2 linked regions of the Daphnia pulex genome follow. The protein of the gene in region 2 purifies or fractionates together with the protein of the main gene of each other region. This does not show direct contact. Links are inferred from orthologs where the notes say so. Each region holds a gene or a part of one and is shown on either strand. Other genes may lie near its edges.

Region 1 (4,601 bases), on a different chromosome or scaffold from region 2:
TTGCGCAGCAAAATAAGTGAAAAGAAAATAAAGAAGTTAGCAGACTACAATACGTCAGAGATTTGCCGTCTGCTACCACTCTTCCACGAAATGCAACATGTAAATCTGCTACCACTGAAAGGCGCTGAGCCGCTGATACACGAACTGCATCATCAACCCTCGGGATGGTTGAAATTTGAAAACATTCAAAAAATAATGAGAAAAAAATAAGAACGTTGACACCTAGAAATGGATGTATTGGTTGTACATGATTTCATGGCAAGGATTTGCGCGGTGAACAGATGAATATAGTGTTTAAAAAGGAGACACGGATTAGTGGAAAATAATATAAAAACGTACCAACGAGAAAGAAATATTTTGAGCTTCACTTCAAAGCGCCAGTCATTTTTTTTATAGGACAGAGGAGGAACTGCAAAATATTCTAATACCAAAAATTGCATTCGGTTCCACCACCATATCAAAAGAAAAGTATTTTTTTTCAGTTAAAACGCAAACTTGATGGGAATTCTTGTGTTTTTTTTGTTTTTTTAGAAATAGGACTCGGGTCCGTGGGATGTGGATTTTCGAGAATACTGATGATCGTTTTTTCGGTGACGGGAGAGCGTACGTGATTGTAATCGGAGATGTTCGGTTCACTTCTAGTTGTCAAATAAAAACGATAACGACTACATCGACGGTTTCAACTATACGCAAAAGCGATTAAAACTACAGAGGTTTCTGAAACAAATGAGAAAAAACAAGCACCGATCGAGGTGATCCACAGAAACATTTTCTATCAAGACGAAACAACAAAGCTGCACTGAGAGGAAGGGACAAAAGAAGGAGTACGAGATGGGTTAGAACGAGTTAATCGAACAGCTGAAGATAGCTTGTAACGCACAGTATGATCAAGATCTGATGAAGTTAGTAAATTAAGAGTTGATTTGCCGAGAAATAGGGTGGAGGAGGAGAAGGGGCACTCGTCCACCCCTCAGGGTGAATTCACTTGATGCATACTTGGATCATAACCCATCGATGAATCGCCATAGCCCTACAAACACGTTTACATTAATTAATATGCTGAGATACCACTAGTTAAGTCATTAAAAGTAGTTTACTTGGCCGCCCATGGAGGAAGGAAAGTCACCACCGTTGAGTCCCATAGCACCGTACGGGCCTAAGGAATCTTGTGGACCCCTGAGTTCAGGACCACCAGGTTGAGGCGACATCATCGGTCCGGGAGTTCCAGCCATACTGTATGGCGAGGAACCTAACGAGAAAGAAAAAGTACGAAAATTAGAATCGCTCCGGTAATACGAGGATTTGAAAATCCTCAGAGTGGAAACAACTACCCGCGGCCTTTTTAGCAGCATACAGGTTGGCCTCCTCTTGGGCTTTTCCAATGTTTTTCTTGTAACGAATTCGTTTGTTACCGAACCAATTCGAAACCTTTTTTGTAAAAATAACAAAACATTAATGCGCTTATTCCTCTTAAAAGGATTTAAAAAGAAATTAACCTGTGAAACGGTGATCCCACATTTACGAGCGAGCTCTTCTTTGGCTTCTTCACTTGGGTAGGGGTTGCTTAGGTGCGAGTAGAAGTACTCATTCAAGATCTCAGAAGCTTGTTTGCTGAAGTTACGCCGCTTCCTCCTACATGATGAAGACATCGATAGAACAACACCTTTAATGGGCGTGGTCAAACCTTAAAAAAATAGCAAAATTTACCTGGCGTCGAGGAAACGAGATCGTAAAATCATAACGGCCTCGCAAGTGCTTTGCTTCAGCTGCATTTGGATGGAGCTAAACTTGCGATGAATGATCTGAACCATCCGCTCAATCTCCTTGGGTGTAATCGGACGAGTACGGGATTGTTCTCGGAGCAAATTCATAACATGGGTGGTGAATTCACTGCAAGCCTGAAAGCGGATGTAAAAATGAAATGGTTATTCTCCATTTTCTTGTCATAGAGGTCCAATAAAAAAATAAGCATTGCTAAAAATGTGTACCTGCTCATATTTCTCAAGCTCTTGATGGTAAATTTGACGAATTTGTGCCAACTTAGCCCTATAATCAGAGTGTTCAATAGCCGAGTCCGACATTGAGCCGCTTTGAGACGCTGCAGCTGATGCATTGGCAGCAGCACCGGCCCCACCTCCTTTTTCAGGACCAGCTACTCCTTCAGCAATCAACATGTTATCCAACCGCATGAGTTGCGGATCTGGAGGCTCCTCTTCTTGCGTGTTGCGTAGCGACAAAACTAAAGTGAGAGCACAATTTAATGTTACCATTCAATCACTTGGATTCATATTGAAATAGGGTTACCAGTTTTCTCTTTGATTTCACACAAGACAGAAAACAAAGCAGGTTTCATGCGATGACAGTTCAGGGTATGCTTGCGTGCTTGGGCTTCATCAAGACTCTGGTCTGTGATGTTCATGATCTGTTGCAGAATTTCTCCAATATCCTAAAAAAAAAGAAGTTTTACTTAAAAGGAAAAAAAGATTTTGGAAATGGAATTGTACACACCTGCTTTCGTCCAGTCATATTTTCAGAGTCTTGGTTCCCTCCATCAAGTGAAGCCATGTTAACCCCAACATTGACTCCGACATTGACAGGAGGTAACCCATACGGTGGCTGATGCATTAGTCCAACCTGGCCACCTGGAACAGGATGCATAAGTCGATTTGGATCATCCATCAAAAGCAATGAAATCTTCCAATGTCACTGCACAAAACGTATTGCCTTCAGGCTACAGGACCTGGCAATAAAGACCCTGTAAACAATGACTTTCCGTTTACTAACATCCATACATGTGATTTCATGAAATGTAAACATAAAATGAAATGTACTAGACACAACAAAGCACTAGTATTGCAAGAAAGCAATCGTAAATAACAAAAATTGGCTTCGGTTAATATAAAAATGCCAACGTCTTATAAAATGCCCAAGGCGACAAGCGTCCGCCATGGAAGAGAAGTTTGCTTGCGTAGCGTATTTCTTTCAATTAGAATAAAAACTTTCTTTACTGACTTGACACACAATTTGAAACCGGGAATTCACGAGTTGTTTAGTATTCAAACAGACTGAATCACATTTCTCAAAGGCTCATAAAATAATTACCAGAGATCGCCGAGATTATCGACGGGACAAAGCAAAAAAGACGCGAGAACGCGATCACAAAGGTAAGTATCGATAATTATATCGGGTAAGCCAATAATCGATGTACTAGAAACTCGCGATACTGTATTTATTTTTTATTTTGAATTTTATTAATTAAAATTTTATTTTTACAAATGAAAACGCAACAAGAGTAAAAATATAATGATGTTTGATGTTAAAATGTATTAATTTGACTTTAACCTCTATGAAGATAAATACATTTAAGTTACATAAGAGGCATTTTCTTGATAAATCGTCGATGCCACAAAAATGCTGTGATAATTGATAATGAATACCACGTTAAAATGTACGAAACGTGTTCATTTCTAACAGTAACAACTGTTTGTCCACCTACAGGTCCATCCGGTACTGTGCTATCAGCGTCCGCGTCAAAGAAAATTGGCGCAGTGTCTAGAAGCCGAGCCATTCCCTCCACATCTCTGTACGCAATATATATGAAGTTATCTAACTTTGCGAAAAATATAATTGTCTTTACCTGAAATGAAACATGCGGTCTTTGGGCTGATTTTGGGGTACAAACTGGGGGCGATTTTCATTAGAGCGGTACACTCCAATCAGTTTTGTTTCGCCTTCTCTTTGTCCATTTAGTCTGGTGAATGGATTCATTTTTTTACGAGGAATCCATCCGCGGTTTACAAGAACTGTGAGACTAAAAGTAACTTGTAGAAAATTGAGAAAATTAACTGTTTGAATGTCTTACTTGGAATCTGATAGTTTAAATGGAGTGATGACTAAATAGCCACTCTGCCCTGAAGACAACATCCCACCACCTTCATTTTTTTCATTTCCAACCAGTGATCTTGGCCCAATGTAAATCTCTTTGTCATGTTCAAATTTTCCATGGAGTTCAAACTTCCGGTATTCCATGTCAGATAGCCCTTCAATACTGTAGAGCATTGGTGTAAATATGCATAAAAGGGTAGAGTTAAAGAATTGTATCAGTCTCACTCTGTAGACTGAAATGGAATTGGTGGTGCAGACGTTCTGCTGGCAAGATGATCAATAACACCAAGTTTCCACTGACGTCTGAAAATCTGCCAGGTCCCAAGGCCGAAAGTGATGGCTGGAATAGCCTACATTTATTGGATCAATTTTTTGTTAAAGAACTATATGTACGTTTTATTTTTAAAATCGATTATCTTACCAATAACGAATAACCGTGAATTCCGATATCTACAGCATTTCTTTGCCCATAGCTTGAGGCTGATCGTCTTACGTAATTTTGTGTACATGTCTGAATAGTAGCAGAAAATGAATGTTGAAAAACACAGTTTTGAAGCTATAAACCAAATTACCTTAATTCTTCTAATTTTCTGAAAATGCCTTAAACTGAGCATTGTAATCAATTTCAATTTAATCTCTTTAGGAAAAGAAAAGGTCTTCACAAAAAAAGTGCAGAAGAGTTTTTGAATAACACTTGAACGATCAGAGACACCTAG
Region 2 (4,644 bases):
CCGCCGTCGTGATGATGGGCACGCCGGTGGCTGTCGTCGTGACTCCGGCCGGATTGGTCTTCCGGCGAACGTTTTTCGTGTTTGGCAATTTGTTGTCCTTTTTCCACTTCATGCGCCGGTTTTGGAACCAGATTTTAATTTGGCGCTCGGACAGGCAGAGGCTGTGGGCGATTTCGATCCGACGGCGCCGCGTCAGGTAGCGATTGAAATGGAATTCTTTTTCCAGCTCGAGAATCTGGTGGCGAGTGTAGGCTGTTCGCTGTCGTTTGGGTTCCATTCCCGGCGTGAATCCTCCGTTGGCTAGGAAACCATCAGACAACGATGCTATATGAAACACAGGCAAATAGTGTGTGATACAGTTCTATTCGGAATCGTGCAGGAATTTATCTTATCACTAGAGATGTAATCAACATTTTGATTGAAAACTTTTTTTTAGGCCTAATTATGGTTTAAACAAACACATAATTGGGTCGGTAGAATCAAATTGAATTTTTTGAAGTGGTACGAAAAGGATGGCAATAACTTACGTGCTCCGGCGACGTGAATCTTTTTCATCCACGGGTAAATGACGGGATTGTGAGAGTCGTCGGACATGTCGGACCCGTCATCGCAATCGGATTCGGGGCTATTGGGCGTCGGTGGCTGGCACAATTGCAGGGCGTTATTTTGCTGCTGGATCTGCGTCTGTGTTTGCAGCTGTTGCTGCTGGCCGTTGGCCTGCTGAGCAGCCACCATAGAGCCGAGATGGGACAGCTGGTCATGCTGCATCAATGCCTGTGAAACGACACCACCACCGCCGACGACACCGTGACTCTGCTGTTGTTGTTGTTGCTGCTGTTGTAAATGACTGGAATTGAGTTGTTGCTGGTGAAGAGGTTGTTGTTGTTGCTGCTGGACGTGTTGGTGCTGAAGCTGAAGCTGCTGGTGTCCAAGGGTCTGCTGTTGTTGGGCCCCGAGCTGCTGGGACGGGCAGGTCACCATGGACGTCAACGAAGGCGTTGGCGAGGGAGCGGGCGATCGTTGAATCATTCCCGGACTCTGCTGATGTTGCTGTTGCGGCTGGTGCTGATGGTGATGGCCTAGAGTCGGGGCGACATGCCCAGTCATGGGCACTTGGACTTGCTGGCCAGTGCCAGCGATTCCGCACGCTCCGTTGGCTCCGTAGGCTCCTCCGCCGTGATATCCGCCAGCGCTGACAACCGCTCCCCCGTGACTGGGATGCTGGCCGTAATAGCCCATGGAAGCGGCCGAGGTGACGGACGACGGATGAGTTCCGTTGTGGTGGTGATGCGTGTGGTGCCCGTGGTAGCCGTGGTAGTGCTGGACTTGGTGGTGAGGCACATAGTAGTCACTGGACACGGCCGCCGGAATGTAACTGCTCTGACTGTACTCCTCACTCGGCGGGAACTTTGGGTCGACGACGTACTGCGACGACCCGGAGTTCATCAAGAACGAACTCATGGCGATCATCAATTCTACCTTCCACTGATTGACACAAGGAGATGATGATGATGATGTTGACTGGGACTCTTGTGTGTCAATACGAAATTGAGTCGTCACTATTTTTTAATTTATTTTCGTGACGAAACTAACCAATAACTCATGTGATTCGGAGGCGACGGCCACTCACTAGTAACTAACTCTGATGTCTTGTCTGTGTTTCACTCTTCACTCGATTGTCGTGTGTCCGCGCTCTTCTTGTTCCTCGCAGCCGGCCCGCGTTGCTGGTTGATGTCTTGTGCTTATAGTGCCCAGTGCCAGTGCCAGAGAGTCGATGCGGACTGGAGCAAATAACTGGCGGGGGGCTCCACCTCCCGTTGGGGGAAGGACGAGCCACGTGACCTCGGCCCTGTCGACCAATCGCCGATGTCCTCGACTTCTCTCTACGCTCTTAACTCACACGGGGTAGCGGGTGTGTCGGGGTAGGGGAGGGAGAGAGAGTGGGAGGGAACACTGGAAAAGAGGAGCCCTGGTCTGGTGGTAGTGATCCAAAAAAGAGCTTTTCCCCCAACCCGGCGCAGCCGGCGGCGGATGTGATCGATGATTTGCTCAGAGAAAGTCCTCACACACACACAAGTTGGGCACATGCGCCTCTAGCGGCTGATGTCTTCCGAAAGTGAACCCCGGGTCTTATAGTCTAAAGATCAAGCGAAATGGAAATCTTGTTGAAAGCTGAATGAATTGAAATGATTGTCGAAAAAGTTTCAATGGCGACTGCAGGGGGGCAGAAGCTTTTTGTTCCCGGTCGATTTTTTGTGTGATGAGACAGACGCAGCTGGAGCTGATTGGTTGGGTAATGAGGAGAGTAGTATTACGACCCGCTACGGGTTGATGTTTTGTTTGTTGAGAGCTTTTAGCGCGATGGTCGGTGCTGCTGCTGGTGCGCCGGCAGCGTCCGCGATGTCACACGACTTGACACACCCTCGGATGTCTTGGGCGAACATCCACTTTTTCCTCCTCTCCCTTGTCACTCTGTCAGTTGCGCTTCATTCTGACACGAATACTGCCGTGTTTGGTGTCGACACGCACCACGGATCTCTCGCTGACAATGGCAGCTGTGCACTTTTTTAACACAAAAATAGAGAGAGAGAGAGATGTCTATTTCAATTATCGTGTTTCACCTCTTGTTGTCCGTTTCACCACTACCTACTGTTTTGCCGGACCGAAAAAGGAAATGGATGGACACCGGCAAAATTTCTTCTTTTGTATTTTTGTTCACTCGTTTTTCTTTCGCTCCTATACCGCCGATGGTTAATGGATCGCTCGGACACGAGTGTTTGATGATCGAGAAAGTTTCTTTTTATTTTCTTTTTTTTTCGGCTGGTCGAGGGCTGACACTGTTCACTTCAGACCTGGTCGACGGTGAACGATCGACTAGTCCGGTTCCATGCCAGTGGAAAGAGAGTCGTCTTGGCCCGCTACCGACACCCTCGGAAGATGTTTGTGCCACTCGGTCGGATAGGGAAGAAAAATAGGGGGGTGCCACGGCGCAGCAGCAGCGCAACCCTTTTGGTGTGTGTGTGTCTTTGCTGGCCAGCGACAATTCCGGCCCCGGCAACATTGTGGCGCTAATGATGTTGGAAAGGGTGGGTGGGAGACAATTTCCACGACGATGTGGTGCATTGAGAGACAAGGTGGAGGAGCACGGAAATACACCAACGAGTCTCCTTGGAAAGTCCTTTCCGGATTTCTGTATTTTTTCTTTTTCCTGACCGAGAAACTAGGCGGGATCGGTCGGCAAACGTCATTTGTTTTCAGCTCGACTGGAAAGAACACAATCAACTCTTGTGTGTTTTTGACACTTCCGAAATAAATCTGGTTTCTTTTGGTGGGGTTTTCGGTTTTGCTATACCTATCTTTATTTTTGTTTTTCTACTTTTCCTGTTGGTTTTTTTTTATTTTTTGCGGTACTGGAAACTCACGGGCGGCACGGAAGAAAGGCTGTCCGTTCTACACCGACTGAATTCCAATTAGTGACTGAGAAACGGTGGGCCCGAGTTTGTCTATTTTCCAGCAACAACCTCCTCTATCTTTTCTAGCCGAGACTCTTATCTCTAGGCTCTTTGTCTGTTGTGTGTATGTTTCACGCGGTTATTGCCGTGTTATGCCCAGCCGCCACCTTGTTATTCTTCATCCCCCTTTCATTTTTTCTTCCCCTTTATCGTTTCTGCTTTTATCAGTTACTCATTCGATAGGCCATTTTGAATTCGAACGGGAAAACAAAAAAAGCTCGAGAGGGACGATGACGAGTTTGTCGGGGGCTTTTGGCCGATTCCACCATTTTTCGGCAACGCCTCGCATAAATTGATTCAACTTTGTTTTGGGCGTTTTTGACTTAAAAAAGACCGTCCTATTTTTTTATTAAAATCCCTTCCGTAGAAAAGTTTTCTTTTCCCCCCACTGACTGTGAATCCAGTTTTTGGCGAGATGAATAGTGCAGAACTCGCGACGTTCCTCGTCTTCCTGAGCCCAGCAACTGATGGCGGACAAATATCCACAAAAAGGGGAAAGAAAAAGAAGAAAGAAGAAGAAGAAAAAAAGAAAAGAAAGTCAGACAGAAAAGGAAAGAAGGGAAAAAAAAATAAGAGAACGAATGAAAGAAGAGGGGGGCGGCTGTATGCGTTTTCCGCTAGCGAGCGGGTTCTTAAAAAATCCAGCCGCGTCATGCGCCTGGCGTAATGATTAATGATGCCCGCGCCAATGCGCCAAAGAGGAGAGAGATAGAGAGAGAAAGAGAGAGAGAGAACCCCCCGACGCCGTTGTTGTGCCGTTTGCTTTTGCCGAGTTCTATACTACACGCACTGTGTAGCAGCACCCGATTTATCGAACCGTCCGTCTGTCCGTCTGGTGTTGTTTCTCGTTTATTTTTCAGTCAAGGGCAGACAAACGCTATGAAATATCATCATCATATCGCTCCATATACGAAAGGTTAGATAGCCGACTCAAAGGGGTAAAGAAAACAATTTCCTTTTTTTTTTCTCTTTTTCATTCGGTTCCCGTTTCTCGACCGGAACCGGAAGCTTCTTTCGCCTTTACCCACTTCTCGATACCTGATTGGGAAGGAAATGATTGGCGACCATTTGCCAAACTACTATGAAGTCTCGACTCGTGTATAGCTGCCGAGGAACTTAATGAACTTTAGTT

Evidence for each region. The genes of interacting proteins can lie anywhere in the genome.
Region 1: the proteins of homeotic protein deformed-like (region 2) and homeobox protein extradenticle-like fractionate together in Drosophila melanogaster (co-fractionation; 4 studies listed by BioGRID). This does not show direct contact. The link is inferred for Daphnia pulex from reciprocal best matches to the Drosophila melanogaster genes Dfd and exd.

Annotation. Positions count from the first base shown.
Region 1 is NC_060023.1:11,356,014-11,360,614, reverse strand, and holds homeobox protein extradenticle-like, read right to left. Parts: upstream 3,190-4,601; 5' UTR 3,103-3,189; exon of another isoform or gene 3,013-3,102; intron 2,756-3,012; 5' UTR 2,680-2,755; coding exon 2,509-2,679; intron 2,447-2,508; coding exon 2,305-2,446; intron 2,240-2,304; coding exon 1,989-2,239; intron 1,899-1,988; coding exon 1,708-1,898; intron 1,633-1,707; coding exon 1,497-1,632; intron 1,429-1,496; coding exon 1,329-1,428; intron 1,250-1,328; coding exon 1,098-1,249; intron 1,031-1,097; coding exon 971-1,030; 3' UTR 216-970; downstream 1-215. Other genes in the region: surfeit locus protein 1-like, read right to left, coding at 3,368-3,581, 3,638-3,811, 3,863-4,048, 4,111-4,235, 4,307-4,396, 4,458-4,499. UniProt on the Drosophila melanogaster protein: Transcription factor which acts with the selector homeodomain proteins altering the regulation of downstream target genes such as wingless (wg), teashirt (tsh) and decapentaplegic (dpp), thus affecting segmental identity.
Region 2 is NC_060024.1:12,446,536-12,451,179, reverse strand, and holds the start of homeotic protein deformed-like, read right to left. Parts: upstream 2,931-4,644; 5' UTR 1,471-2,930; coding exon 528-1,470; intron 325-527; coding exon 1-324. UniProt on the Drosophila melanogaster protein: Sequence-specific transcription factor which is part of a developmental regulatory system that provides cells with specific positional identities on the anterior-posterior axis. Homeotic protein controlling Drosophila head development.